3 separate regions of the Mus musculus genome follow, and all the other regions are reported to be linked to region 3. The links are microRNA targets in miRTarBase. Many come from high-throughput screens and were not tested one by one. Region 3 holds a microRNA gene; each other region holds the end of a gene's coding sequence.
Evidence for each region. Region 3 holds the annotated microRNA mmu-miR-423-3p (AGCUCGGUCUGAGGCCCCUCAGU, at 5,878-5,900, shown strand). A microRNA usually pairs through its seed, bases 2 to 8, with sites in the 3' UTR of a target mRNA and lowers its output. Matches are read on the target gene's strand: a 7mer-m8 pairs with bases 2 to 8, a 7mer-A1 pairs with bases 2 to 7 and ends in A, and an 8mer does both.

Region 1: the mRNA of Stimate is a reported target of mmu-miR-423-3p. Seed matches in the 3' UTR shown: 7mer-m8 at 5,155-5,161.
Region 2: miRTarBase lists Cox6a2 as a target of mmu-miR-423-3p. The part of its 3' UTR that is shown has no 7-base or 8-base seed match.

The regions. Positions count from the first base shown.
Region 1 is chr14:30,872,026-30,882,135 of GRCm38, reverse strand. Stimate (STIM activating enhancer) reads right to left here. Exons shown (of 8, transcript NM_028839.4): 7 at 9,437-9,586; 8 at 4,926-7,758. The coding sequence ends at 7,660. Mustn1 (musculoskeletal, embryonic nuclear protein 1) reads right to left here and starts at 2,879. Exons shown (of 3, transcript NM_181390.3): 1 at 2,521-2,879; 2 at 1,387-1,519; 3 at 526-1,212. The coding sequence starts at 2,529. The coding sequence ends at 1,106.
Region 2 is chr7:128,199,687-128,209,796 of GRCm38, forward strand. Cox6a2 (cytochrome c oxidase subunit 6A2) reads right to left here and starts at 6,680. Exons shown (of 3, transcript NM_009943.2): 1 at 6,537-6,680; 2 at 6,214-6,350; 3 at 5,749-6,126. The coding sequence starts at 6,609. The coding sequence ends at 6,043. Itgad (integrin, alpha D) reads left to right here. Exons shown (of 31, transcript NM_001029872.3): 25 at 3,269-3,347; 26 at 3,472-3,579; 27 at 3,660-3,737; 28 at 3,911-4,024; 29 at 4,164-4,265; 30 at 4,849-4,959; 31 at 5,376-5,818. The coding sequence ends at 5,489. 4931431B13Rik (RIKEN cDNA 4931431B13 gene) reads right to left here and starts at 3,642. Exons shown (of 3, transcript NR_045183.1): 1 at 3,453-3,642.
Region 3 is chr11:77,073,876-77,083,985 of GRCm38, reverse strand. Mir423 (microRNA 423) reads left to right here and starts at 5,814; the gene lies at 5,814-5,922. It overlaps Nsrp1 (nuclear speckle regulatory protein 1), which reads left to right and starts at 5,549. Exons shown (of 7, transcript NM_001012309.2): 1 at 5,549-5,607; 2 at 7,242-7,332. The coding sequence starts at 5,588.

The DNA of each region.
Region 1 (10,110 bases), not on the chromosome of region 3:
GCCCAGCCTGGAGCCAGAGCTACCTGCCCAGGGGTCACAGGAGCTTCTCAGGAGGAGTCATCCATGAGCCAGGCCCTGTAGGTCTGCTCTCAGGAGCCATTATTGGCCTGCCTGTGTTCTTGCCATTCTAACTGGGCAAGCTTTTAGCTTCCTCAACCTGACACAGCAGACATAGGACACAGGTCTGAGGAGACAGATGGCACACAGCTAGGAACCTGGTGTTCTCATACCCCGGCCACCATGCTGGGGGGCGGGACATGGTTGCTGAGGAGTCTTGGAAACTCACGGCCACTGGCCAGAGGAACCACACCTAGTTTGGGCTTTGAGATGGAGACATACAGTCCAGAGACACCATGGGCAAAGGAGTAAGGATAATGGGCTTGGAGGACCCTGGAAACACTGCAGCACCTTCTGAGGCAGGCAGAGGGAGCTCGGCCTCCAACAAGGTCTCTCTGTTACTGAAACCTGCTTTATGCCATAGACATTAACTCAACTCTCCTGCTGTGCATGATGGGAAACCGAAGGTTACTTTTCCATTTCATTTTTATTTTAGGTACGTGAGTATTTTGACTACAGGCATACCACACGTAATGCAATGCCCGCAGGGGCCAGAAGAGGGTGGCAGAGTTCAATGGTTATGAGCTACCATGAGGATATTTGGGAACTGAACCAGAGTCCTCTAAAGAAATGGCAAGTACTTTTAGCTATGGCACCATCTTCCCAGCCTAAAACAGAGATTTAGGAAGAACTGTCTCCTACACGCATCAGAAAGTCCGCACCAGGACTCCACGGCTAAGGCTCTGCCTGGAACACCTCAGTGGTTCTGAGAGCACACACATTATTCCCTGTCCCACCTCAGAGTCCAGGAAGGGCACCAGATATGCTATGTCCCCACACTTCCCTCTCTTCTGCAGGTAGCGGCCATGGCAACGTCCCAAGGTTGGGGACATTGGGCATACTCTTTATTGGTGTTTCCAAGGGCTAGGGTTGTGGGAGTCATGATGGTTCAAGAGACAGCAGAGGAAAGGCATCTTCCAGCATTACAAAAAAAAAAAAGTTCGTGGGGAGGCTCCTGTGTCCGGGTGGATGGTGCAATGTGCATGTCTCAGCCAAACACGCTCTTGGCTGGTCCCTCTTTGGGCTTCTCAAAGACTGTCTCGGTGCCTGTGCGGTTGCGGCTGAATACAGATGGGGCAGCTGAGCCGGCTTGCTCTGGAGGCAAGAGATGGAGGAGGTGACATCAGGGACCTAAACTGGTCTTCTCAGAGGCAGGGCTCCCTATGCTGTGTGCAGCCCCTCCTATGCCCAGAGACCCTCAACACCTCTTAGCTACCACCGGGGGATGCTTGTGTCTCCAATTCTACCACATGCCCGGGGGACACTCACCGTAGTCCCGCATGACCTGGTATGTCTTAGACTTGATGTCCTGGTTCTTGGCCAGGGTCCCTCGGGCCCCCTTCAGGTCTTCTTCCTTCACAGGGGGCCGCTTCTTCTTGATGGGGCCTTCAGGAGTGCCAGCCTTGGAAAAGTCGAGAGCCTTACAATTCAATGCCTTGAGATGAAGACCCCCCAACTTTGGCGGGGGCTCCTCCTTCCCAGGCTTCCGAATTAAGCCGATTCAAAGCTCACTCCTCTCCCAACTGCAAGTTCCCCGCCACCTCCCTGCCTTCTTAGCCTGACTTGGACATCTGACCTTTCCCCACAGACAGGGAGGGAACTCCTGGGGGTGGTGACCACTGCATCCTCACACTGGCCTGTTTGTCAGGCCGAGTTCAGGACTGGACACAAGGGCGGAGAGCAAAAAGATGAACTCTAAGACTGAGGAGCCCTTGGTAATCTCAGGAATTCTAAGATCTGTTCACAGAGGTGGTGAAGTCCGTAAGACTGCCCCTCCCCCCTTTCCCTAAAACAAAACCACTGATGTTTACTGTGTTTGGGGAGGGATCGGGGTAGACAGCCATGGAGAAAGGAGCAAGGATGACCTTGTTGTTCTTGCCCAGTAGAGCCGGGAAAGCCAGATTTAGTGCTCACCCTTCTCTACCACCCGGGCGGGCGCCTGTGAGGCTGACACCTGATTCCTTCTTAAGCCCTGCAGGCAGGTGCAAGGATTCCCTCACTCAGCCTGGGCTGAGCTCCCAGGGAAACGCAGGCCTGCAGACACACCCTCACAGGGAGACAGACAGATCTATAGGTACAGTCTCCGCCCCTCATCCTTCCTCCAGATTACAAATGTGTACACATCAGGACACACTAAGCCAGCAAGGCTAGCTCCCTCATCTCCATACAAAGGCGCACAGTTCTATATAGGCACTCCCCACCTCCAACCCCTCACACGCCTGAAGTGTCAAGGCCTTTCACCAGAGCCTGGTGAGACCCAGGGTGTCCAGAGGCCAGCCTGGAAGGGCCACGGTGCTTCTGTTTAGCTTTGGCTTTTACTTCAGAGCAGGCACTACTACTTAGTGTCCAGCCTTGCCCTCGCAACTTCCTTGGCACCAACTAGTCCCTTCTGGGCCTCCTTACCTCGGACATGTTGGATGCCAAGCAAGCTCGCTGTTGGTAGCTCTCTGGCAGGCAGTAGCCACAGGAAAGGATCTGCGTGAGGCCCAACCCTTGGGAACTTATATAGTCTGCTTGTGCGTCCTGGGTAGTCACTCCCCTCCTTTGGAAGCTCTCAGATGATTCAGATCCACGCAGCGACTAGCTGGAGTTTATTCTTGGCGATGATGGGCAGCTGCCCTGGTGAGAGGAGATGGCCGCGGGGACCCCGCATCTCTGGGGACAGCTGCTTACTCGACGGTGGGAGGTGTTGGCACTGTTGTTCACAGACTGTGTTTATGAATGTGAACCCTGGAATGTGTGAGACAGCCTGCCCAGGCTGACTGCAAGAACCCATCCCAGTGGCAGGGGTGGGAGGGGAAGTCTCTGAGGAGAGGGAGGGCCCTGAACAAGGGTGGATGCTCTGAGTTTGTTTAGCTTTCTCTTCTACTCCTGGATTCCACTGGAAATAGATTTTCCATCCCAGCACATTAGCAGGGGAGAAACTTCCTTTCTGTTGCTTGGAAACACTTCCTCATGGTGAGCACAGCCAACTCAGAGTGAGTAGCCAGGAAGGCCGAGACCCTGTGGAGCTGCCATATCACAGTCTTGTTGGTGTCCTGGTCCTCTAGCCAGCCCTGGGACAAGTTTAATAAAGAGACAAAGCAAGGTACAGTATAGGCCCGGAGGAGACCATGCTTGCTAGTAAAGGCCTATAGAGGGCTTCTGTCTAAGATGGACACTTGGAAGCTGGCTGGCAGGACTTTAGAGGGCTGGGGTGAATGCCACTTCAGCTATTAAGCTGTAGTAAAGAGTAGAGCTCCCTTGGAAAATCATTTAGCACCCACCACTAACTTCATCTTTGCATGGAAAGATCACTGGTGGCAATGCAGGGACCCTAAGCCTGAGGTGGGCTGTGGTAGATGTGGGTTGGAGGTTTGTCTTAGACTTCTCTCCACTCCCTCCCGTCTACAATGGACATTGTGTTTATCCCTGAAGGCACCAGGCAGATGAAATTCAACCAGGCACTAACAGTCATCCTAAATGTCATTCCATAGCTGTTGTGCCTCGAACTCTATCCCATTCTTGGTTCTGGGCCTGGCTCCCAGTAGGTCAGTGTGTGCACCATCAGGTCTATACGCAGGGACCTGAGCAATACCCATGATTCCAAGGGGAGGCCAGGCCATGCCTTGTGAGGAGTACCCACAGCTGGCTGACTAGGACAAGGATAAGGGATGCCCAGCTCTCACGACCCAGGAGGAAAAGCGGGTTAGGCTCATCAGGATGATGGCTAGACCACGCTAGGCTCCTTTCATCGCAGACTCTGAGCCCACTGCAGCCAAGCCATCAGGTTTATTAACCCGTTGAGTTGGTTGTGAGTTACAGGGCACAGGGCACACAACCAACGACCACAAAAGTGCTGGGTTTTTTCCTCCTTTTTCTTCTTTTATATAATAAGATGTGAAAATTTACTGTAAACCAGTTTACAATGGAAGTACACCATCTTCTCTTTCATCTAAAAAATGTGGTTTTGTGACCCATGCATGACACCATGCTTAAGTGTCACTGGCAGCTGAGGTGGGATGGTTTCTGTGACTCATGACTGCGTACACAGCCTTGATTGGCAGCTGAAGTCACTCATAGGTCTGACTTCTAAGTAAACCCAGGAAAAGAAAAATTTAGAACTAAACCAGGCAACCAGTCCACCAACCAATCCACTCACCCACTCAGGACTCAGGGTGTTCAAAGCAAGGCTGACCACAGGCCCCGCACTATGAACAAGTCTCCCATTGAAAGTTGTGGAAATCTTCATTTAAGAGTTAGCTCACTTCGGGGGTCGGGGGGTGAGTGGAGAACACCTTTAATCTCAGCACTTGGGAGGCAGACGCAGGCAGATCTTTGGGTATGAGCCCAGCCTGATCCACAGAGCTAGGTCCAGGACAGCCAGGACCACACAGTAAAACTGTCTTAAAAAAACAGAAACAAAACAAGACTAGGTTACATCCTATAAGGTTTGCTGCCTGGCAGGAGGGACAGTCTGGGTCTGCTCCTTCAAGGTCTTGGGGCACCTTTCAGATGTGCATCCTGAGCTGTAGCCAGCAGGCCTATACTGCCAAAGAGAAGTTACAACTTGAACTTGAATCTTTTTGTTTTCCCCAAGAAAGGAGGCAGGAGAGGTGACATGAACCCACGACTCCTTTGGTGCTCGGGAGTTCACAGTTTAACATCTGAGGCAGGAGGTTGCTCCCAACATGCCCCAGGGCTGAGGGGCACAGAGTCTCACCTCACACACCTTCCGGACCACTGCCACACGGGAGCTCACCATTCACCGCTGCCTTTCCCAAACTCCCACCAACAGGTAAAGGAAATAAAAAAGCAACCACCATGTCTCCGAGTTAGGTGTCAGCTCTCTCTCATTGGTTTATTTCTGTTAGTTACAAAAAAAAAACAAAAACAAAAACAAAAACAAAAAAACCTCATTCTTCACCGTGGCTGGCAAGCTTCTACCAAGAGCAGCTTGGCCAAGGTACCTATTTGGACAAATCAGATTGACAGCACACCACAGCTAGGTCAGCATTCCACACTTCTTGTTTTTTTTTTTTTTTTTTTTTTTCCCTAGCTCGGTGTCGCCCGCAATCAGCCAGTAAAGGGTCCCACCTCATAAGGCAACTTGGAACAAGTGATGTGGACACTTGTTCCGGGGAGGGGGGACAGCTCAGGAAGAAGTCCTGACCAGAGCCCTCTACATCCACTCCAGTGAGACAGTGCACCACGGTGACAGAAAGGCCTTGTCGGCCACCGGAGGCTCTCCCAAGGGATGCGGAATTGTATGTGCTTTTGCTGTATGGTTGCATGCGCACATCCACAGGGAGAGGGAAGGACAGACACACACCACGCTTGCACACAGACAGGCTCTAGTGGCAGATCCCTGTTGGACCTCCTCTCCTACTGAGCCAACTCCACAGCTGCAGCCCAGAGACGACAGTCCTTAGCGGAAATCAGGGTGCAGAAGGAACTTGCACTCACTTGCTTCCTGTCCTCCAGGCCCTGTGCCTGGGAGCTGGGAGGACCTTACAGACCACCTCTGTGAGGCTGTGCACCCGGAGTTGCCATCCTTCCGTCCTTAACAGCATTTCCCCCACCTCTGTGTCTAGCTTGGAAACTCCAGGAGCTTGAGTCTGAAAATGAGGTTTCAGCTCTGAGCTCCAGAGGGATGGCAGGGGTGTGCGCAGCAAAGGCCAGCTAAAGCACAGCAAAGGGGAAGGGGACGTGAGGATGACGTCAGCAACACCCGGGCGCTGACCAGCTCACCAGGAGTTTGAGCTCAGTGGAAGCTCACTAGAGAAGGGGAGAGAATGACCACTGCTGAACGATGGAAGAAAATGGGAACTGAGACCAAGGCAGGGCCTGGCGGACCCGTTCCAGGTCATGGCCTCTGCCTGACAGGAATGTGCAGCCTCCCACAGCAGACTCACTCTTCTCAGTGACTTGCGCTAGACAGTGAGCTGAGAGGGCCACCCAGAGCATACCCTTCTGTCTGTGACAAGGAAGGTTTCAAGTGGCAGAAGACAGCCCAGGTATCCTGGGCAAGGGCTAGGGTCACGGGCCACAAGCATATTTAGAGCCTGTATGCTTATGCAAAGCACACTCTGACCTAGGCTTAGGGGTTCTGAGGAGAGCTGTCCTCTGTGCTTGTCTCACCTAAGGCCTCAGCCCGTGAGGCGGTGGGTGTTCTTGTGCTCCTTACCACTGAGAGGCCATCAGACAGTCCCGCCCTGCTGCTCCCACAGCAGGGACAGTGCCAGGCCAGGCTGGCCCACAGGTAAACCACAGCCCGGCTGAGGAGTGGGTGTGGCCAGCAGAGAGGAGCCAGTTAGAAATGCCTCATACAACCTACACATTCAAACACGACTCACACCAGTGTCTGCTCTGCTGCAGTTATTTCACAACTTTGTAGGGCATCATGACAGGCTCTTCCGGCCAGGAAGAGTTCTCTAGACAGCTAAGCAAGCAAGCAGGTGGCAGCTGGTGACAGACCAGGGCAAAGGTTGGCTCTGCAAGCTGCTGTACAGTCAAGGCTGCTGTACAGGCAGTCAAGGCTGAGGCCATTCTAACACTTGCAATTTAGAGACTGAGATAGGCAGGAAACCAACAGGAGTAGCCGGAGGCGGTCTTGAGTCCTCTGGACACAAACGTGTAACTCCTGAGTGAAGTTTAACCATTGCCTCCAACACGGCAGCTTGTATGCCCTGGCAGGGCTCTGTCTGTCCCCACACTGGAGCAGCTGCCTCCTGTGCAGGTTCTGACCTTAACTATGGATCTGTGAGCGCAGATAAGCGCTATCTCTCTACCTTCCCACCAGGGCCGTTTATCTCACCATCGATGTTACTTAACAATATTCCTGCCTCCAAAACTCCTCATTTTTACCCACCTCCCCCTAGCTCATTCCCCATGAAAGGCAAACAAATCCATGTCTTTGGGGATTAAAAAGAGTTTTAAATACAATAGTATGAAAATATAACTTAAAAATATAAAAGTCCAACAGTATACGGAAGACTTAAAAATCTGTTTGCCCATTAGACCCATAGATACTTTGTAGGAAATGAACACATACTCAAAAAACAGTAACACTGTCACAGCTCATAAAACTGGCTTTAGAAATAAAGAGTTACAAAAGCCATTTTGAGTTAAGAAAGCATTCCTGTTCCAACTTGGGTCAACCAGCAACTGCTAACCTCAAGCACAGCGCTTGTCCACAAGGCCGGCAGCCTCAGCTCCAGGACCCGCAACAGTCTGTGTGCTGTTTCCTTCCACCATGCCACCTGGTCAGACAGGACAGGGGGTCTTACAGAACCCCTAAGGGACAACAACAAACAAACAAAGCTCTTCGCTTGCATATTTGGTCAGTGTTTGTAGTGCAACTGAGTGGGCACTCCAGCTGCCCACAGCCCCCTCGGGCATGGGTCCTCTTCCCTCTTTTAAGTCACAGTCGTCTGGGGCGGGTGGAGAGCGGGCAGAGACAGCAGGAGGAGCAGAGGTAGAAGAGGAGGGCAGAGAGGAGGGCAGAGACGCTGTTGCTGCAGGGCTGGGCCCCAGGACTGTCACCCGCAGCGTGGGAATGTGTCATACAGGCAGCCCGAAGCGGTGCTTCTTTTTCACAGGTCTCCGGAGGTCCTCCTCGGCGTCAGACTCCTCCATCTCGTCGTCAGCTGAGATCAGGATCTGAGGCGGTCAAGAGGCAAGGCCTGAGATTCCAGCGCCTTCTGTGCTGTGTCCTCCTTGGAACCCAGCCCCTGTGGGAGGCCCCATGTCTCCCACACCCTCAGAGGAGGGTTGAGGGAAGTCCCCTCTTCCACAGCGAGATGTGCTGGCCTGTTGAAGCTAGCATTGAAGTCACCACCCCTAATCTGCCACCCCCTACCCAATCAATGCCTTCACTTGGCTTCCAGCCAGACCCAAAGCTGATCAAAGCCAAGCAGGCGCCTGGAATCTCAGGGTCCTGGAATCCCCTTACATACACAGTGTCTTTCAAAAGGGACTGGAGTCATCCCAGGGACCAGTCAGGCAGTGTAGGTTCAGAGGGGCTGTCTTGAGCCACCTCTGTCATGAAGATGAAGAGGGAAGCGCTCTACCCCTCCATGCAGCCAGGACACTGAGGACAAACTTGCTCACTCCTGCCGCAGCTGCTGGCCTTAGACCTCTGCTTACCACGGGAAGATCGGAATGGCCTGCATGAAGGTTTAAGGGCCCAAAGCCTAGCCATGCTGGGGAATGTGAACTCCTACTTGAGGGGTGGGACAAACAGCCTCACTACCCTTCCTGTGGACAGAGTCACTTGATAGCTCACGGCTCCCTGCTCTGGCCAATGTGAACTTCACTTTAATATCAGAGACCAGACCATGTGGTTGTGAATGCCTATAAGCGTAGTTTCTGCTTTATGGCTTTTTGTCATTTGCCAAATGTTGGCCAATTATTAGGATGTAATACAGCCCTATAACCAGATACAAACTTGGAGAAAATTGGGGCTTGCTTTCTAATCTATTCATCATTTAAAACTCCTCCAGCCTGCCCAGGGTTCCCCAGGGCTGGTGCGCATGCTCAGTCAGACGTACTGCACACATGGTGGTAAACCAACTGTGCGTTTGCTTTTCCTCATCCTCAAGTCTCAGGGTGGCAGCCATCTCAGTCACTCTGGGGGTGGCTGGGGGAGACAAGGTCTCACTATATAGCCCTTTCTGGCCTGGACTTTGCTATGTAGACTAGGTTGACTCCGAACTCACAGAGATCTAAGTGCCTTTACTTTCCAAGTGCAGGAGTAAAGCCATGTGCATGTGCCACAAGCCTGGCTAATCTCAGCCACATCTCTAGCTCCCACTGGCAGCCCAGCACTTGGCACTATGGAGTTTCCGCAGACACTGAGGCCCAGGTCACGGATGCTGCTGCCCAAGGGACACACTCCCAGCCCTGTGCTATCTGTCCTCATGCACCTTCCTTATGTCAGGCACCAGCGGGGAGAGGGAGACGAGGTTACCTCTGCGAGGTTTAGCTAGTCCTATATTTTATAAGTTTTTCCCTTGCTTGTTCATGAAGAACAGGGCTCCAAGTACTTTAACGCTCCCCTGGAGTAAGGCAGATTTCACCTTACCTAGCTGTCTCCACCGCTGCCGCAGCAATGGTCTATAGCAAATCTACATACTACGTCCTTTTGGCTTGAGACAGCACATGTAACAGCAGATGTTGGGCTCACGCTAATGAGGCTCTGAGCGACCTGAGCTATTCTTTAGCTCAGCTTCTTCCTTCCCTCTGACTGGCACTGCGAATTCAGGTACAAACTTAAGAGCAGAGACCCCCAGAGCCCAAGGTATAATGGCCACGCCCTTGGGGAGAGTCAGGCTCATACCTCAGACTCAGACTCCTCATGGGATGCTGCCCTTCGGTAGCGAACCTTGCTCCCATTCCTTGAGTCCTGGTTGGCTCCTCTTTCTTCTAGTTTAGCTTTCGTCTTCCCCTTTCTCATGAGGAAATTGTCCACTACCCAGAACATGAAAGCCTGTGGGAAGAGAAAGGTGTAGGTCGCTCTGGATAAATCAGAACAAAGCAAGCAGAAGGCTGCATACCCACCCCTTCCACAGACAAAAGAGAAGCCGCACTCAGCCCTGACGTCTCCCAGAACATCCAAGAGAAACAGCGGCTCTCTTTCACTTGCTGTACTTTTATGATCAGAGGACAGCAGGGTAATTCTTGCTGTGGTCAATTATGGGTTTATTGTTGGGTTAAATGACAGGCAGCCCAGAGGCAGGCATGGTGCCGCACGCACACCCTGCATCACAGCACTGTGGAGGCAGAGACAGACTCATTTGTGTTTGAGGGCAGCATAGTCTACTCTAGTGAGTTCAAGGACAGCCAGGGCTGTGTAGAGAGACCCTGACTCCAAAATCCAAACCAAACCAAACCAAACCCAAAACCAAAAAACAAACAAAAAAACCCCAAAAACCAAAAAAAAAAAAACCCAAAACACCCAACAAACAAACAAACCAGGCAGCCTGTTTCGGGCCAAGAACCCCAGTCTCTGCC
Region 2 (10,110 bases), not on the chromosome of region 3:
TGTCTGTGTCTGTGCCTGTGCCTGTGCCTGTGCCTGTGCCTGTGCCTGTGCCTGTGCCTGTGCCTGTGTCTGTGTCTGTGTCTGTGTCTGTGTCTATGTCTGTGTCTCTATGTGTCTGTTTCTGTGTCTGTGTGAGTCTGAGTCTGAGTCTGAGTCTGAGTCTGTGTCTGTGTGTCTGTGTGTCTGTGTGTCTGTGTCTGTGTCTGTGAGTCTGTGTGTCTGTGTGTCTGTGTGTCTGTGTGTCTGTGTGTCTGTGTGTCTGTGTGTCTGTGTGTCTGTGTGTCTGTGTCTGTGTCTGTGAGTCTGTGTGTCTGTGTGTCTGTGTGTCTGTGTGTCTGTGTGTCTGTGTGTCTGTGTGTCTGTGTGTCTGTGTGTCTGTGTGTCTGTGTCTGTGTCTGTGTCTGTGTCTGGTCTGTGTCTAATCATCTGTAACACACCATGAAAAGCTGTATACTGCTCTGGTATACTGGTCTGCTGGTGGCACATGGCTTTGCCACATTGTTTAACTCTTCTTCTTCCAGTGCTGTCTTCCTTTCCCAGGAAGCTTCCCTCAGTGCTAGATGTGGTATCAGACACTGCGTGAAGCTAGGCTATCGAGGGCAAGACTTTTCTGGGCATTGTGTGCTCAGGAGCCTGACCCAACAGGATAGGTCTGCTCTGCACAGGGGCCAAGCAAGGTCAGAGGAGGGTAGAGCTGGTGGGAGAGTCAGGGCAAAGCTGCTGCTATGGGGTTTGAAGGTGCGTAGGTGAATGCAGGGGCAGGGTAAGCTAGAAGCAAGCAAGGGACTTTCCAGAGTGGACGGTTACTCCGCAGAGTGGAGAGCTGTTGGGACACCATTGAGAGATCCATTTGGTGGGGTTTGTGGCTGTAGCCACTGAGTGCATGGGAGGACTGGAGGGGGATCAAATGTGTCATTTTCAGTGACATGACCCATGGATTGTATGTATGAATTTCCTCTTTCTCCCTAGGAAAACACAGCTTACAGTTAAATATACTATTGTTTTTATTTTAGTGAGGATTGGGAAGAGTTACTTGTTCCTCTTCCTCTTCCTCCTCTTCCTCTTCCTCCTCTTCCTCCTCTTCCTCCTCTTCCTCCTTCCTCCTTCCTCCTCCTCCTCCTCCTCCTCTTCCTCTTCCTCTTCTTCCTCTTCCTCTTCTTCCTCCTCCTCCTCCTCCTCCTCCTCCTCCTCCTCCTCCTCTTCTTCTTCTTCTTCTTCTTCTTCTTCTTCTTCCTCGTAGTAATTTCACTTAATCCTCTGGATAACCACATTGTTATCTCTATTTTTACCAATAAAAAAATTCAAGAGGTTTAATAACCTGCCCCTGTATTCACCAGGTAAGCCACACTGAATGTCTTGTACAAGGCCACCCTGTGTGACAGGGCTGCTTATGTGGTCCAAAGCAAGCAGGAGGGCCCAGGGGCTTCTTCCAGAGAGGGTTTGTGTCCTCTCAAGATGGAGGAAGGCTGAGAGCTCTACTCAGCTTTGAAAAGATGTTTAAGCCTGAGGAGATGGCTCAGAGAGTGAAGCCACTGGCAAGCCTGATGCCCACATGGTAGAGTCAGGGAACATTAAATGTGCACAGTGGCACATGCCTTCCCCCAGATAAACAAATCCATGTAAAATAATTGTTTTTAAAAGGAAAGAGGCTTAGAGCTGGAGATGTTAAAGTAAGAAAAGGGAAGCAGAGACAGAAGAGGTTTGGGAGGCACAGAGGAATCCCAGCTAAGAGAAAACTCCCAACGGTTATAGAGAGCTCATGTGTGGGGGGTGCCGCGACAGCCTTCTGCGGGACTCTAATGAGGTTAAATGACTTATGCTCCAAGTTACTTTGTTGAGTAGGAAGTGGTGGGTCTGAGATGCGAACTTGGGCAATTCTTCAGCAGTGCCTGAGGACTGAACCTGGGGCCTAGAGCTTGCTAAGCAAGTGCCCGGCACAGCCACACCCCCAGTCTCCTCTGTGTTCTTAAATGTCCAGTTGATAGCGTGAAACGGGGCGGGGGGGGGGCTCTGCAGAGGTTTTGGGTGCTGATGAAGCATGTTGGCCCTTCTTAGAGCTCAATTCTTTTTTAAAAAAATCAAAAACAAAAAGCAAGGTCTCACTATGCGGCCCTGGCTGTCCTGGAACTCACTGTGTAGACCAGGCTGGCCCTGAACTCACAGGGATCTGCCTGCCTCTGCCTCCCGAGTGCTGGAACCACTGTGCCTTCCTGCTTAATTCTGCTGAGATCAGAGACATCATCAAGCATTGGGAAGGCGGGGACCACGGCTTAACTTCTGAAATCCCCAGGACTGTCCAAACGCCCCACAAAAAGACTTGTGTGTGTGAAACATTTTACTCATATGAGCAGTGGTATTAGATAATACATTTTCAAAGGTAAATATGTTCTTCGTTATTTAATTTACATTTTTATTTTTGATAATTTCATACATGAGTAATGTATTTACACATCCTACTCCCTCACTCTCTCTCCCCTCCTATTCCTCCTGTGCCCCTCCCACCATCTTTTGTAACATAGCAAATGTCTACTGAAAGCCATGGGTAAGCCAGATGTGTCATAATCTTTGCATCTGGAAGGCAGGTGTAGGAAGATCGCTGTGAATTTAAGGCGTGTCTAGGCTATGACTTGAGCCTATCTCACAAATACAACCAGTAGATAGGAACCTGTCGGCATTTAGGGACCCTCTTGGCTTGAGTTCCTGGGCCAACTCCTTCCATATGTGTTTGCCTGCCCCAACACGACTATATCTGCTTTCATGCCTGCCACCAGAGACAGGGTCACTCCATTTGTCCCAAGTAATCTAGCCTTCCCTTTGTAGAGTCCCATAGGCTTATTTATTCTGGCAGAAGACTTTGTAGGCGTTCCTGAGGCCACCTCCCATCTGATGGACTACCAGCTAGAGGGGGCATACAAGCGCTTTCTCACCACTGGGAAATGGCGATCAATCAGTACAAGGAATGTGCAGATGCTGGGTCTCTGAGTGAAAATCCCTGGAACTCGGTTAAGAACATTTCCTGCCAAAGAAAGCTGGAACAGATCTTTGGGGGCATAAAGAAGTCAGCGCATCAAGGGAAGAGCTGGTAACTCCGGTGCCTGGCAAGGCTCTGTGGGGAGAGGAGTGGAAGCTGGCACCGAGGCTGCAGATGCATTTGAAGACCATCGTTGTTTCCCTGCATCAGCTGCTGGACCCAGTACTGTACAGCGAGCTGGGATTCAAACGGAGATGGCGTCGGAGCGGTTTCTCACTAACATGTCATTCTCTCCAGGCAGGAAGATTCTACCAAGCATTTCAACTTCTCATCTTCCCACGGGGAGAGACAGAAAGAGGCCGAACATCGATATCGTGTGAGAAGCTAGAGAATACGTGTGTTGGTCTCAGCTCAAGATGGAGAAGACTAGAGAACTATGGGTAGGAAATAAATGGGGGTGTTCTAGGGATCATACCAATACCTGGTCTCCACTCCTGCAGGTGAATAACCTGAGTCCATTGACGCTGGCCATCAGCGTTAACTTCTGGGTCCCCATCCTTCTGAATGGTGTGGCCGTGTGGGATGTGACTCTGAGGAGCCCAGCACAGGTACACAGCCCGTAGCAGTTCTCTCTCCAGAATCCCTCTCTATAAGGATGCCATGCTCTGATCACCTCCCCCACTCCTAGGGTGTCTCCTGTGTGTCACAGAGGGAACCTCCTCAACATTCCGACCTTCTGACCCAGATCCAAGGACGCTCTGTGCTGGTGAGAAAAGCCCGTGTGCTGGGGACACGCACGGAATGCACTGATGACTCTGACTGTGTAGTCAGCCTGCGATTGTATATTCTCTACTCAATGCCAGCCTTTGTTTCATCTTTTTGTCTCTTTCTAAGTAAAGGCCCTCCTCCTCCTCAGCTTTATCCCCCTCCTGCCCCCAGGACTGCGCCATCGCCGACTGCCTGCACCTCCGCTGTGACATCCCCTCCTTGGGCACCCTGGATGAGCTTGACTTCATTCTGAAGGGCAACCTCAGCTTCGGCTGGATCAGTCAGGTGCGTGGCCAATAGCAGAAGTCCTCCCCTGGACCATGTGTGCCCGATGGGTCTGGGGCATCCTTGGGTCAGGGCAGTCCTTGAACCCTGAGCTTCCCCAGATCTAATTCCCAGCTCTGCCCCACCCCATCTTTTGCAGACATTGCAGAAAAAGGTGTTGCTCCTGAGTGAGGCTGAAATCACATTCAACACATCTGTGTATTCCCAGCTGCCGGGACAGGAGGCATTTCTGAGAGCCCAGGTAGTGATTGTGGCAGGCAGCTGCCAGGCTGGTGAGAGGGCTCTGAATGTTCTTCAGTCTGTAGTGCTGGCTGCGGATCTGCCAGCCTGGACGGAGGGTAGAGGTTCCTAGACCCTCAGAATGCATGAATGCTTCTGTGGCTCAATGCTTGGAAGCATTCATGGGCATTGGCAAGGGAGGGGGAATAGTAAAGGGGTGTGTTTGTGTGTGTGTGTGTGTGTGTGTGTGTGTGTGTGTGTGAGCACATGTGTGTGCATGTGTGTGGGTGTATATGAGTGTGTGTGTGGACATATGAGTGTGTGCGTGCCTGTGTGTGTATATATGAGTGCGCATATGTACATGTGTATATGACTGTGTGTGTGCATGTGTGCGCACATGCATGCACATGTGTGTGTTTGTGTGTATTGTGTGCCTGTGTGCATGAGTGTTTGTGTGCACATGTGTGTATATGAGTGCGCATATGTGCATATGTATATGACTGTGTGTGTGCGTGTGTGTGTGTTTGTGTGTACTGTGTGCCTGTGTGTATGAGTGTTTGTGTGCATGTGTGAGAAGAATGAGCATTCACTGATTTTCAAATCAGGTGTCAACGATGCTAGAAGAATACGTGGTCTATGAGCCCGTCTTCCTCATGGTGTTCAGCTCAGTGGGAGGTCTGCTGTTACTGGCTCTCATCACTGTGGCGCTGTACAAGGTAAATTGTTTTCACATCATTTTCCTAACACTACTAGTGTTCACTACCAGTTCTGTCGTGCACACCATACGACAGTAAGAACACAGATCGTAGTTGTAGGGCAGGCTTGGCCACATATTCTGTTCCTATCACATTTGCTTGGTCTTTTTCCATCTCTCCTTTTTGAAATAACAATGAAAGTTATATCACAGAATGGCTAAACTGAAGCAGACATGCCATATGTACAAATCTGCCCGACAATGAGCCTGTGGCTTCCTCCCACAACTAAGAGTGTAACGACTGCTTGGCACATGGCCTTTCTCTGTACGTGAGGGCCATTCACATGGCTGCCCTGACACACAGCTGGAAGTTATTTTAGTTCTCTCATCTTCAACTTCCCTCTTACCCAGTTTTTCTGACTTTACTACATTTTATAGCTTGGCTTCTTCAAACGTCAGTATAAAGAGATGCTGGATCTACCATCTGCAGATCCTGACCCAGCCGGCCAGGCAGATTCCAACCATGAGACTCCTCCACATCTCACGTCCTAGGAATCTACTTTCCTGTATATCTCCACAATTACGAGATTGGTTTTGCTTTTGCCTATGAATCTACTGGCATGGGAACAAGTTCTCTTCAGCTCTGGGCTAGCCTGGGAAACTTCCCAGAAATGATGCCCTACCTCCTGAGCTGGGAGATTTTTATGGTTTGCCCATGTGTCAGATTTCAGTGCTGATCCACTTTTTTTGCAAGAGCAGGAATGGGGTCAGCATAAATTTACATATGGATAAGAACTAACACAAGACTGAGTAATATGCTCAATATTCAATGTATTGCTTGTATAAATTTTTAAAAAATAAAATGAAAATGCAGGTGGAAACATCACATTTTCCTTATATAAAAAAAAATAACTGGAACCCAGATACCAACTGCCCAAGAGCCTGCCCAGCCCCTTCCACCATGCTGTTCCCAAAGAGCCAGAGGACACAAAACTTCCACACCTTTATTGAGCTTGGAACTGTCCACTGGAACCTCAGGGGCTCTCAGAGCCGGTGTGCAGAAGGCCAATTTGAAGATTGCTGGCAGAGCGTGTCTGCTGAGACATCAAGGGTGCTCATAACCGGTGGGCAAAGGATTGACGTGGGGATTGTGGAAAAGCGTGTGGTTGCCGTCCCCCCAGGCGAAGGGCTGCAGAGAGAAGGCAGACAGGTCACCCACCACAGTCCCTCCCCGCAATCCCCCTGCATGCTCTCACTCGCTCATCCTCTGGCGTACCTTGGTTCGGATGCGGAGGTGGTGATACGGGATGAACTCTGGGCGCTCGTGGTGGCCAGCGTGCATCCAGCAGTTAAGGGAGCAGAGGGCTACGCCGGGAAGAGCCAGCACAAAGGTCAGGAGGCGCCAGGTGTTGGCTGGAGGAGCAAAGGTGGGGTGTGAGTAGATTCATAGGCAAAAACTATCCCTGGGCCTAGAGGTCTGAAAGATCAGTGCCTGGTAGATCAGGAGAGAGGAGCCAGGAGACAGAAGGAGGGGGAAGCCGGGCAAAGAGAACAGATCGGCTAGGCTACTAAATCAGAGTCAGGCCTGGCCCCACTTACCTCCTGCCCCTCCATGGTCTCCTTTGGCTGCGCTGGCCATGCTCCGGCTCAGGACCTTTAGAGGCAGAGCCATTGTCAAAGGGAGGCTAGGAATGGCACTGTCCTTCTCTGTCTCCTTCACCCAGTCGAGAGGCTCTCCTCCCCTCTCAGAGCCAATCACCTGTTGAGCCCGCACATGGATGGCTATTTTTAGGGGCTTTCTCTATCTAAAGTGGGTCTTGACTGGCAGGAGATCCTCTTCAGGCAGCTGATGCAATGTGCCTTTTATTTTGGCAAGAGAAGATTTAAAGTGATACAAACTTGAAATATGTAAGCTGGAGGATCAGAGTTCAAGGCCACTGTTATCAACTTAATGAGTTTGATCACAGCTTGAACTACCTAAGATCTTGTCTTTAAAACAAATTTTACAGTGGGGTGGGGTGGGGGTGGGAGTGTAGCTCAGTTGGTAGACTGCCTGCAGTGTCTGCCTACCAAGTACCCATAATGTCCTGAGTTCTTTCCCTATTCCTACACAATCTCAGTGTGGTGCACTTATTTATAATGCCAGCCAGCACTTGGGACATGGAGGCAGAAGGGTCAGGAGTTCAAGGCCATCTTGGACTACGTACCAAGGTCAAAGCTATCCTGGGCTACACTGGACTGTCTATCTAAAGATTTATTTGTTTTATATATGTGAGTATACAGTAGCTCTACAGATGGTTGTGAGCCTTCATGTGGTTGTTGTGGATTGAATTTTTAGGACCTTTGCTCGCTCTGGTCAACTCCGATCACTAAGTCCCTGCTTGCTCCAGCCCAAAGCTTCATTTATTATTATACATAAGTACACTGTAGCTGACTTCTAGCACCAGAAGAGGGCATCAGATCTCATTACGGGTGGTTGTGAGCCACCATGTGGTTGCTGAGATTTGAACTCAGGACCTTTGGAAGAGCAGTCAGTGCTCTTAACCACTGAGCCATCTTGCCAGCCCTGGACTGTCTATCTAAATAAATATGTACTAAAGCTATCCTGGGCAACTCTGGACTGTCTATCTAAATAAATATGCACCATTTTTTCACAGTGGCACGGAATGACTTCATTTAATATTCTGTTCTCAATAGCTAGCACAGAGTAGACAAGTAATATGCTTAAAACTAGTTAGGTGCCCATTTAAAAAATTATCTGGGAATTGAATCCCAGGGCTGTGTGCATGCTAATTAAATGTTCCCCCACTGAGCTCAGGCTCGGTTGTTGCTGTGTTTCACTTGGTATTGGTGTGTGCTCATATGTGACACGGATGTGGCGCTCAGAGGACAACTTTATGATGCATACTCTCCTGGGAGCCGAGAGCAGGCCACCAGGCTTGTATAGTGAGCACCTTTGCCCACTGATACATCTAGCCAACCCAAGAAGCTTAAAGGCAAAGGGGGAGAGAAGATTGTAAGAGCCGGAGCTCTGTAGCCCAAGCTATATTCTCAGCCACAGGACTTTCTGTTCTTTCTCTCTGTGATAGGCTCTCACGATGTAGGCTAGGCTGGAATTGAACTCATGACCCTTCTGCATTCGTTCCATAAGTGCTATGGTCTAGGTGTGGATTGTACTGTACTCAGGTTTACAGTCTAACAGGATGCCTCTAGCTCTGAGCAAAGTTTGATGTATCTAATCCACTTATAAAAGGAAAGTAATAAGGGCTCTACACCTATACCTCTCATTTACTTTAAACTTGGGCTAGTAAGATGGCTCAGTAGGTAAGGGTGCTTGCTGGTAAGCCTGACAAACTGTGTTTGATCCCTAAGACCCACAAGGTAAAAGATATTCATGCTTCCAGGCCCCACAAGTAAATAAATGTCATAGAAATGGAATAGTTCCATCTACCCAGGTTCCTCTTTCTGTAATGAATTCTTCCCATAGTCATTTTTGTCCTGTTGGATTTTGGGACTGCTGTGGAAATGTGACTTTAAAATTTCCTGTCACCCCACCTCCATACACAGTTTCCTCTAATCTCCTCCCTATTTAGTTCCATTATGGCTACTGAAGAAAACAGTAAGAGGAACATTTGTACTTACAGAGGCTCTAGGTCTCCCTTTCCTCCTAAGTAGCCTCTCAGAGGTTTGCTGAGAATTCCCATCCTTGCCTTCTCTGCTCTTTGCAGCCACTCAGTGAATGCTGCAAAGGTCACTACTGTCCTCTACCGCCATCGTGTGGTACACTTGAGCACCTACATGGAGGTTTTTACTTAACCAATTTTCTACAGGTTTCTGTGTTATGATGTTGATTTTTGTGCTGCTGGGGACGGAACCCAGAGGCTAGGTACACAAGGCAAACTCGCACTCCCAGCTGCTGTTTTCTTTCTTTTTCTTTTGTTTGGCTTTCACTGAGTACCCCTGCCTGGCTTGGATTGTAAGTCCTCCTTGGTGCTGTTTTTCCAGGTGCATACCACCACATTTAGCAGGGTTTTGTCATAACTGTTTCCTTGTGAGAACTGTAGCATCTGCATCTGTAACATCTGTAGCAATTGTAGCATCCTTGCACCATGCATAAGTTAGATTCCAATTACTGGAAGGGTTTTTTTTTTCTTCTTCTTCTTCAGGCGGAGAAAAAACAAACTCACCTGTACCTGTCTTTGCTACTTTGTGGGTTCTTCTCTGCTCCCCTCTTTTATCCCCTGGTTTTAACTCCAACACTGGGTAAAAGAGAAACAAGGTTAGAAGGGAGAGAAGAATTAGGGAAATCTCTGAATCTAATGTCCTCCCTTTTGTTTCTTCTTTAACCACAGCTACTAACAACCCCTCCACCCCCCCCCACCCCCAAGTGACCAACACTCCCAGCCTGCCTCTGGGGCCCTCACATTTATGTATCCTCCGAAAAGTTCCCAGGATTCCAAAAGGTTACAATGGTAGAAAATATCTGCAGCTGGCAAAACCGTGCCTCTGCCAGAGCATGAGGCAAATCATAGTCAGCTGCTGCGGACTGTCGGAAGCAGCCTCACACCCCTACGCCTGGGAATAAAACAAATCACAGTCATGTAATTTTTCTGTGTTTTAAAAAAGAAATCAAAATTTCAGAATTCTTTTTTTTTTTAATTTTAAAACGGAGTTTATTTAGCCCCAATTAAGTCTAGTTTTATAAATTCCATCTGACTCCTCCACAGGAGAAAACTCATTGTTGTTTATTATTGTTGTTGTTGTTGTTATCATTACACACTAAGCCTGTCTGGGTGGCTATGTGTGAACTATCTGGGTGAGTCATAGGGTCTCCAGGAAGGTTGTCAGAGTTCTATGATTTCTTCTAAAAAGCGAAAAGGATTTATGTGATATAACTAAGTACCAGGAAGAGGTTATTTTTAAGCAGTTATCAGAAAATAAAGTGAAAGATGTGAAATGGGAAAAAAGATCTTTGAAGAGAAGTACTTGAGTAATCCAAGAAGCACAAATCAAAAGAGAAAAGGTTTCTTTTTCTTTGTCCTCACATCTTTAGCAGCAACCAGTTTTAACCAGTCAGGGATAGCCAGTGAGTATTAGGGGCATTATAACAGCTTGTGATTAAAGCAATTTAAAAAAGAGTATCCCAGATAGAGTCTCCCGGGCAGTCTTTTAG
Region 3 (10,110 bases):
TGTAGTTTCTTCCCAAGGCTGTGTGTGTGTGTGTGTGTGTGTGTGTGTGTGTGTGTGAGTGTGTGTGCACAGAGGCACATGCACACATGAATACTTCCCATTCATCCATCAAGATGATGTCATCATTTGAGTTATAACAAATGGTATTCATATACATTACCATGACTATACATCTGTTATAAACAGGGAGTAATTATTTTTCATGCTTGTACATCTTTTCAATATTTCTGGAGTTAATGTCAAAAGAAAACTAGAATAGCTGGATCACACAAAGATTTCAGAGCAAGGACTGCTTTCTTTGGTTTTGTTTTGTTTTGGTTTGTTTTTTTTTTTTGGTAAAAATAATGAAGATGGGGCCAACTAATTAAGGGCACAATGGCATTCTTAAAATATTTATACATCTAATTATTGAGTTTCAGGATATAAGAAACAAAACCTGATATTTCAAATCCATAAAGATAGAAAGTAGATTAGTGGCTGCCTGGGGTCGGAGGACTTGCGAGGGGAAGGAAAAGATTCACAGCGTCATGACTGACATGGCACTGGAAGTAAAATCCTGACTATAAACTACTGAGTTGCGTTATTTTCAATAGTAAACTTCATGTGAATTACATCTCAGTGCAGTTGCTTTTGTGTGTGTTTGTGTGTAGTGGAGGATTGCATATTTGTGCTGCGGAAGTCAGAGGACAACCTTCATTAGGTACCATCCTCTTTCTCTCTGCCTCCCTCTCTCTGCCTCTCTCTCTCTCTCTCTCTCTCTCTCCTCACCAGGCTATATAGAATAAGCCTACTTGGTCAGATCTGTTGCCATCTCTCCCAATGTCAGCATTATAAGTATATATCTGGCTTCTGTTTTTGCAACATGGCTTCTGGGGATTAGACTCAGTTCTTCATACTTGCTGGACAAGCACTTTATCTTTAATACAGCTACTTTCAAAAAATAAAAAGAATTTAGCTTGGTGTGGTGGTACACTGGAGGTGGATGCAGGCAGATCTCTGGGAGTTTCAAGTCAGCCGGAATTACATGGTAAGAGAGAGAGGGAGGGAGGGAAGGAAAGGGAGAGAGAGGGAGAGAGAGAGAGAGAGAGAGAGAGAGAGAGAGAGAGAAAGAGAAAGAGAGAGAGAGAGGTGTCAGATATTAATCAATATCCACACAAAGATATAGAGACGTCAGAACTATACATGTCTATACGTGGGTAAACACAATACTATAATTCTTTTTTTAAAAGGTTTCTTTTATATGCATGGGTGTTTTGCCTGCCTACATGTATGTGCACCATCTTTGTGCCTGGAGCTGTTGAGAGGCCAGAAGAAAGTGCTAGATCCCCTGGAGTTGGGACTCCAGAGCTATGAGGCACCATGTGAGTGGTAAGAGTTGAACCCTGGTCCTCTGTCTTCTCACCACCTCTCAAAATTTATTTAAAAGTAAAAAAAAAAAATCTTTTGTTTAAAGTCATGGTATTGCACACCCACAGTCCCAATGTCAGGAAGCAAATGCAGAAGGGTCCCCATAAGGTCAAGTCTGGTCTACATAGTGTGCTCCAGTCCAGCTGGACTTACATATCAAGACCTTGTCTCAAGAAACAAGGGAACGGAGAGATGGCTCAGTGGCTAAGGTAACTGGCTGCTCTTCCAGAGATCCTACATTCAATGCCCAGCATCCATGTGGCAGTTCACAAACTGTAGTTCCAGAGGACCTGATGCCCTCTTCTGATGTGCAGATGTACATACAGACAAAACACCCACATATATAAAATACATAAATAACTCTCAAACAGATCCATAAAACCCACCAAGAAGTGTTTAAAGCAAAAGTAGTAATTATTTTGCCCCCTTTGACAAATAGCACAAGCACATCACTACCGTATGTGACTGGAAACGTTTTACATTATAAACAAAGTGGCAAAGTGGGTTTGTATGTGTGTCTGTTTTGGCTGTTGGAAAACAGACTTAGGGCTTTACACATGCTGGGCCAGCACCCTACTGCTGACCCACATCCCTCAAAGGTGGCATGTGATAAATAAGGTGTATAGTAGAGGGCAGGTGACTGCAGCCCAGTGGATGGAGTGCTCCACATTCACTGCCTATGTAGAATATACTGGGCATGATGGTGCATGACTGCAGTCCCAGCAGTGTAGAGGAGAGCAGGAGGCTCACAAGTTCAAGGTCATTCTTGGCTAAAGAGATTCTAAAGTAAAACCTTAGAAAATTATAAGCATAGAATATGGTTAATACAAATGAAGGCTGGATCATAGATCCAATTATAAGATCTTCTCTATTAACCCAAAACATGGCAAAATAGTGTCTGGGAGTGGGTAGTGAGTGTAAGACCCCCGAAACTGGGGAGACCTCCGCTCAAGTCCCGGGATGAGCTGGCCGACACCCCAATAACTCGAGAGAAAAACCACACTTGATGCAAAGAGGCTTTATTGTCAGCTAGCTGAGGACGAACTCCTTTTGCCACGCGGGGCAGGGGAGTTCGACCCTGAGCGGTAACAGTAGGGGGTTTTAAAGGAAAAAGTGAGGAATTGGGAAGAGTTGGGAGGAGTTTGGTTACAGCTCTTCTCTGGTGGGTGTCCTTGGTAAAATTATAAGCCATGAGGAGTGGGGAGTGAGTTGTATCTCTTCTTTGTGGAGTTTATCTCCGTGTCCTTGGCACAGGGAGCCAGGCAAGTGCCTGGCTAGGTCTTTTTACAATTATTGCATCTCTGGTTGTAAGGTATAGAAACAAAAAGGCTTTTTGCTGGCTATAGAGAACAAAGAGCTTCTTTCTGGCTGTATTTTTAGAGATCAGGGAAAACAAGCTTGGGGGAAACACTTCAAGTCAGGATCTCACATGAGCAGAGAACATATGGGGAAAATGAGAGCAAATGATAGGTGTTTATAACCTGTGATGGTTCTTCTCAGTTGTCAACTTGACTATATCTGGAATGAACTGCAATCCAGAAATGGTGGGCACACTTGTGATCTGGATCTTGAGCCTGGAAGACATAGGCTTTGATCTGAATCTTGAGGTGTGATGTCACAGGCTTTGGATCTGGATTGACACAAGCCTTTAATCCAGATCTTGAGGATACCTTTAATCTGGGCCATATCTTCTGTTGGACCTAGATAAGGACAATGGAAGGAAGCAGTTTATTCTCTATTTGTCCGCTTGCATTCACTTTGCCGGGACATCTGTTGGAGCCTACTTCTTCAGGCTGCAGCTTATTATAGAAGACCAGCTGAGACACCCAGCCTCATGGGACTGAGCCACTACTAGATTCTTGGATTTTCCACTCACAGCTATTGATTGATTGTTAGGTTAGTTGGACTGTAGACTGTAGCCTTCAAGTGAGTGTGTGTGTGTGTGTGTGTGAGTGTGTGTGTGTGTGTGTGTGTGTGTGTGTGAGAGAGAGAGAGAGAGAGAGAGAGAGATTCCATAAGTTCTTTAACACTAGAGAACCCTGACAAATTGGGGCTGGAGAGATGGCTCAGCTATTAAGAGCACTGACTACTCTTCCAAAGGTCCTGAGTTCAATTCCCAGCAACCACATGGTGGCTCACAACCATCTGTAATGGGATCTTTTGGTGTGTCTGAAGAGAAGGACAGTGTACTCACATATATAAAATAAATAATTGTTTAAAAAAGGCATACTATGCTAACATTAATCAAACAGAACTGGTTATACAAAAACAGGAATGAATAGAGTCAATTTTTTTTTTCTTTTGCAGTGCAGGAGTTCAAACCCAGGGCTTTGAGTATGCTAGGTAAGTGTTCTACCTTTGAAACATAAACCCAGATCTCAGTTTCAATTCTTAATTATACCAGAGTTATTGTAACAGGACACCACTATCCCACATGTCCACATGACTTCCAAATATATGGGGGTGGGTGGAGACAGATCAGAGAAACAATTATGCAGCCTTTTTATAGCTGGTTACTATAAGTTGTTAGGACCTGGGTAACATGTTAGGGCCTAGGTAACTGTTACTTGTCTAGCCTGCCATTTTGTGCTGTTACTAAGGAATCTTATATGCTGTCACTGCTGTTGCTAGGATGTTCTGTGCTTCAGTTTCTTGAAAACCAATCACAAGCAATTAGAACTGCTTTGTATAGTTAGCCACGCTAAGCTCGGACCCAAACGTGAGCACATGTATATGGTTTTTACTTTTATAAGCTGCTCCTGGGATGGACCCCAACATAAGAAGCCATTTGGAATAAAACTTCCATTTTGAGCAGGGGTTGAATAAAGTTCCTACCTAAGACATCCCAGGGAATTGACATCCTACTTGGTAGAAAGAGGCATGTACATGGATAACTGATGTCCTGGTTGGCAAGTTAAGACATGAATGTTAGGCAAGTCCTCTGCCACAGTTGAATACCTCAACTAATGAGAACAGGATAAGTGTACAAAAAAAAAAAATGCTTCTGATGAAATTGCCTAACTCTAAATCCTGATTGGTGGAGTAACTTGGCACAGATGTTTGTGGATTTTAGGCTTAAAAGCCCTATAGGATCTTAACTCAATGCCACAGTCAGCTCCTGAGTTTGGTCTGTGGACCTGATTTTTCAGTCTTGGGGTGTGATATTTAATCTCTATTAGACTGAGATTGGTGTCTGAGTGGTTTGTACGGTAATTCCCAGACACCAACACTAGTTCTAATTTTTTTGTTGTTGTTTTTGTTTTTTGAGACAGGGTTTTTCTGTGTAGCCCTGGCTATCCTGGAACTCATTTTTAGACCAGGCTGGCCTCGAACTCAGAAATCTGCCTGCCTCTGCCTCCCAAGTGCTGGGATTAAAGGCATGCGCCACCACGCCCGGCTTTTTAAAAAAAATTTTTATTTTTATTTTTTTGGTTTTTCGAGACAGGGTTTCTCTGTATAGCCCTGGCTGCCAACACTAGTTCTAAATGGTGGATGCACAGATGAAATGTAGCCAGGTTTTGTCTTTTAAAATGGGGTGGCACACTTGTGATGAGTTACTGTCATTTAGAAGGCTGAGGCAAAAGGATATTCTGGACTATAGAGCAAGATGGTCTCAAACAACTGCACTGCTAATATCAGTTCTCGGCGAGGGTGCCTGCATTTCCAGCATTCCGAAAGCTGAGGCAGCAAGATCTTGAGTTCTAGGACAGTCAGGGTTATATTATATAGAAAGGCTTTATTTAAATAAAATAATCAGTTCACATTGAGGTTCTATGGCTTTTCGGTTTTTTTAGTCACTCAGAGCCAGCTACACTGAGCAGCAAAACAAAGCAATAGATGTGTAGGGAGCCGTTTTGAAACTCATTAAATTCAGATAATTGGGGCCCACTCCGACTCGGTCCGGATTCAGCAGGCGTCGCGGTTGGACGTGACTCTAACACTATCTCCAGTGACGAGGCTCGTCCCCGGAGCGCGGTCCACGAGCCTCTCTCTGGACTAGAACTTGGTCATCGCCTCCCCGCCCTGACTTTAAGACTCTGAGCCGAGCCGCATCCTAAGCAAGACACAGCGGTAGGCTCAGCGGCTAAGCGAGTACCGGAACCGGAAGTGCGCGTATACACGTCGGCGTCAGCGTCTCGTCACGTCCGCGTCGACCAGGTCCAGCGGAGACGGGAACAAGATGGCGATCCCGGGCAGGCAGTGAGTGATGGGGAAGTTAGGGTCCGGCTGGGGAGTAAGAAGCCAGGGAGACTGAGTCTTTAGGCCGAGGCGTCTGAGGTCGCCGGAAGTGCAGGGCCACCCCCGCCCCGGTTAAAGGCGGGAGAAGGCGAGGAATTCCGAGCCACTTAGGTTCCCCACCCCCCGTCCGGTACATTTTTCCAGGTTGCAAGCCCGAAGTTTGAGAAACTTGTGAGGAAATAAAGGAAGTTAGGCTGAGGGGCAGAGAGCGAGACTTTTCTATTTTCCAAAAGCTCGGTCTGAGGCCCCTCAGTCTTGCTTCCTACCCCGCGCTTGAGTTTCTCCCGGTTGGATGCGCTCAGGGGCACCGAGAAGAGAAACTCCTGGTTGCCTTTGAGGGCCTCGTTCTCCCTGGCAGATGCTCAGGCAAGACCAGCCTCCCGCCCTCCCTCCTGGGGTTACGAGTGTGGTGCTGAGAAGCCACAGAAAAGAGTAGGCATATAGGAAACTGGTCTTCGCTGCCGGGAAAGACACAGATACGGTTTACCTGCCTGGAAATTTATTCTTGGGCGTGTAAACCTTGCAGTGCCAAGCATGTCCCGTGGCCTTTGCATTTTAAAGCCAAAACCTCGAGAAACGAAACGTATTAAATCTGGTGATGGCCAAACCCAGGCACTATTGCATGTGCCAGCAAGATTTTGCTGAAAGGACCCTGATATAGCTGTCTTGAGTGAGGCTATGCCAGTGCCTGGCAAATACAGAAGTGGATGCTCACAGTCACCTATAGGATGGACCACAGGGCCCCCAATGGAGGCGCTAGAGAAAGTACCCAAGGAGCTGAAGGGGTCTGCAACCCTATAGGTGGAACAACAATATGAACTAACCAGTACCCCACTGGAGCTCGTGTCTCTAGCTGCATATGTAGCAGAAGATAGCCTAGTCGGCCATCATTGGGAAGAGAGGCCCATTGGTTGTGCAAACTTTATATGCCCCAGTACAGGGGAACACCAGGGCCAAGAAGTGGGAGTGGGTGGGCGGGGGGGGGGGTATAGGGAACTTTTGGGATAGCATTTGAAATGTAAATAAAGAAAATATCTAGTTACAAAAAAAATGTGGTGATGGTTTTCAGAGGCGCTGAAGCAAAGCAAACGAGCCCAGTGGACGGATGGGAACTTGCCCCCATGGTGACTTGCTCGCAGACAAAAGCAATTGAGCCAAATAAGTGAATGGGGACTTGCCCGAATCTCTACGTGGGTTTCTTAGTCAATTTTTCAAGATCTTAGCTACTGTGTGGGAAAAAAATCAGAGGACAGTTTAGAACATTTTGGTTTTTAGCAAGTTTGCAAAAACCACTAGCCTGTTTAGGATTCCTGTCACTTCACTATCTAAAACATTGCTGTAGTCTTCATTTTCTCCTTTAGTAAAAATGTTTTGAGTTTGGCCCAGGTAGACAAATAATAATAACAACTATAAAATGACATTAGAATTTTGAGGTCGTTGCAAAGCGGTTAGTCCATTATGTGTTCATAGGTTGTATGACATGTTTTGATTTGGGAAGTTCATAAGGAAGAAGTAGTGGATGTGTTATGTTCTTTAAATGTTTATGTTATTTAAAGATAATGGTGCGATTTCTATTTCAAAAAAAAATTACGCAGGTATGGGCTTATTTTGCCAAAGAAAACACAGCCGTTGCACCGAGTTTTACAGAAACCGTCAGTGTTTGGGAGTGATTCTGATGACGATGAGGTAAGGGGCCCTATGCTTAACTCATGTATTTTAAAAACTGCTTGTGAATTTGTCTTCACCTTTGTTTATCAGTACAGTGGTTCTGGAGTATCTTTACAGACCCTTCAAAAAAAAAAACAACCTTTAAAAAGCACTCAATTGCTATTTTCTGTATGACCAAAGATGACCCCCCCCCCCATAAACTTAGTCATTTTTAGATAGTTTGGTACACTCTTTATAGTCACTTAAATACCAGTGACCTAGCTGGCTTGGAATTTAATGTGTAGACCAAACTGGCTTTGGACTCATAAGGCTCTGCCTGCTTCTGCATCTGCCCTCTGTGTGCAGGATTAAAGGCCCGTGATTCAGTACCTAGCAGTGTTACATGTCTTTGTTACTTAGGGTACGTGGCTAGGCTTTGTAGGATCTAATTCTGTTGTAAACTGAAGGCCATCTGCATAATGTCGCTTTCAACCAGTTTAGAGTTCATCGACAGAGATGCATGCAAACACTGAGGCAGGCTGAAATGTGGAAAGAAAAATAACTGAGGATTTTTCTGTGCCTACTATACTTTGATCTTCACAATTACCCTCTATTACTTTCATTTTACTGATGAAGTTGGAATTCAAATAGGTTAAGGAATTTTCCCATTACTAGGCCTTGCAGCTCATAAATAAATGGCAAGACCACGGCTCAAACACAGCAGACGGATTAGATGGTTCCGACCGTAAGTCACCAGCTATCCAGCCTGGCAGCCTGAGCTCAGTGTCTGGGTGGAGGGAGAGAACTGACTCTCAGTTTGTCCTCTGACTTCCACTTGTATGTCGTGGCCCCTGTGTGGACACACACACACACACACACACACACACACACACACACATACACACAAGCAAATAGATGCAATAATAAGATTTGAGCACAGGTCTATCAAATTCTAAAATCTACATTTTTTTCCCATTCTTCTTTCTTGCTTTATTTTGATAATAGACCTTTAAAATGTTAGTGAAATAGAGAGGACAAAACCGCTCATTTTGCTGAAGAAATACCCAGGCAGGAATAGGCATTTGGACAGCTTTCAAAGCTGGTTTAGATTTGAGTAAAAAAAAAAAGTGGAGATCATTTCAGATGAGAGAGAACAAAGAACATAAAGTAGAAGGCATTTTTATGGAGTGATAAGTTTAGAGAAGAGAATGTGTAGAGCAAAGAAATGTGGCAGTGAGGCTGTAACAGGTTGAGCCCAGATTGTGGAATATCTTGCACTGTTTGTATGAAATGTCAACTTTACATACGGAAGTAGGTTTTTGAGTACTATGTTTATAGTTTACTTAGTGATGCCATCCCAGCTTTATGTTTATCTTGAGAAGATAACTCTGGAATTGCGAAGCACAAAAGGAGAGAAGAATCAAGAGCTTTAGGCCAACCTGGGCTATAGGTATAATAAGAGCTTGTCTCAAAGAAATGAGTTTGGGGAGGAGGCAACAAGAGTCAAGGGTCTTCTAAGAAATCTTATATGGAGATGAAGATCTAAGCTTTGGTTCCCAAGCTAATGGGAAGCAAAGAGAAAAAATAGACTCTCAGTAGAAACAGGCAGTCCAGAGATAGATGGGAAAGGAACTAGATGATGCTAAGGGTTTATTTCATATTTATTTATTTTGTACGTGGGCACACGTATGCCATGATACTGCCACACACGTGGAAGTCAGAGGATAACTCGGGAGAGTCAGTTCTTTCCCTCATCATGCAGGATCCTAGAGTTTGGGTGTTGCAGGCTGTCGGCCATGGCAGTAGCACCTTCACCTGCTGAGGCAGCCCTTCTAAGAGTGTGTTTAGGTAGCTATGCCTAGCTCGGGATGTAGGGGAAGAGAATTGACATATAGCATATGGGTTTTTCAATACATTGGAAACGTAGATGCAGTTTTAGAATTATTTATAGAATATTTATTCATTTATTTATTTTGGTTTTTCAAGACAGGGTTTCTCTGTATAGCCCTGGCTGTCCTGCAACTCATTCTGTAGATCAGGCTGGCCTCGAACTCAGAAATCCACCTGCCTCTGCCTCCCAAGTGTTGAGATTAAAGGCGTGCACCACCACCCAGCTTTTTCATAGAATTTTTAAAGTTTCCTTTGCAATTTTTATGTATGTATATGTGAGTGGACACACTCTTGCTATGGCACACATGTGCCACTCATGGGACAACTACTGGGGCAGTTGATTCTCCTTCTGTGTCAACCCTAGGGATCAAACTCAGATATAGTGACAATTACCTTAACCCTCTGGGCCATCTCTTCATGTCTGCCTTGCCTTTAAGGTTGATGTGTGTGAGCATTTCTATGCCAGGTGCATGTGTGCAGGTCAGGACAACTATGGAGAGTTGTCTGTCACCTTGTAGTCTGTGGAGCTGACCTGGACCACTCTCCTGTGTTTGTGTCTTATCTGTCATAAGAGGCCGGATCACAGACATGCACCACCACATCTCACTTTTTTCAGGCTGTGTAGCAAGCACTATTACCTGGCAAGCACCTCATTGACTTAGTTTCCCCTTTTAAGAAAGTACTGTGATATAGTCTACATGCCATATATGTCTGTTTTAATTTTAAAATTATATTTATTTAGTGTATGTATTTGTGCATGTGTGTGTCTGTATGATTGTATGCGCCATGGTGCTTGTGTGACAGTCAGTCAGAGGGCGACTTGTAGGAGAGGGTTCCCACCTCCCGAATGTGGGTCTGGGTCATTAGGTTTGGTAGCCCCAGCCCGTTTCACCCTTTTACATTATATGGTTCATTAGTTTTTAAATA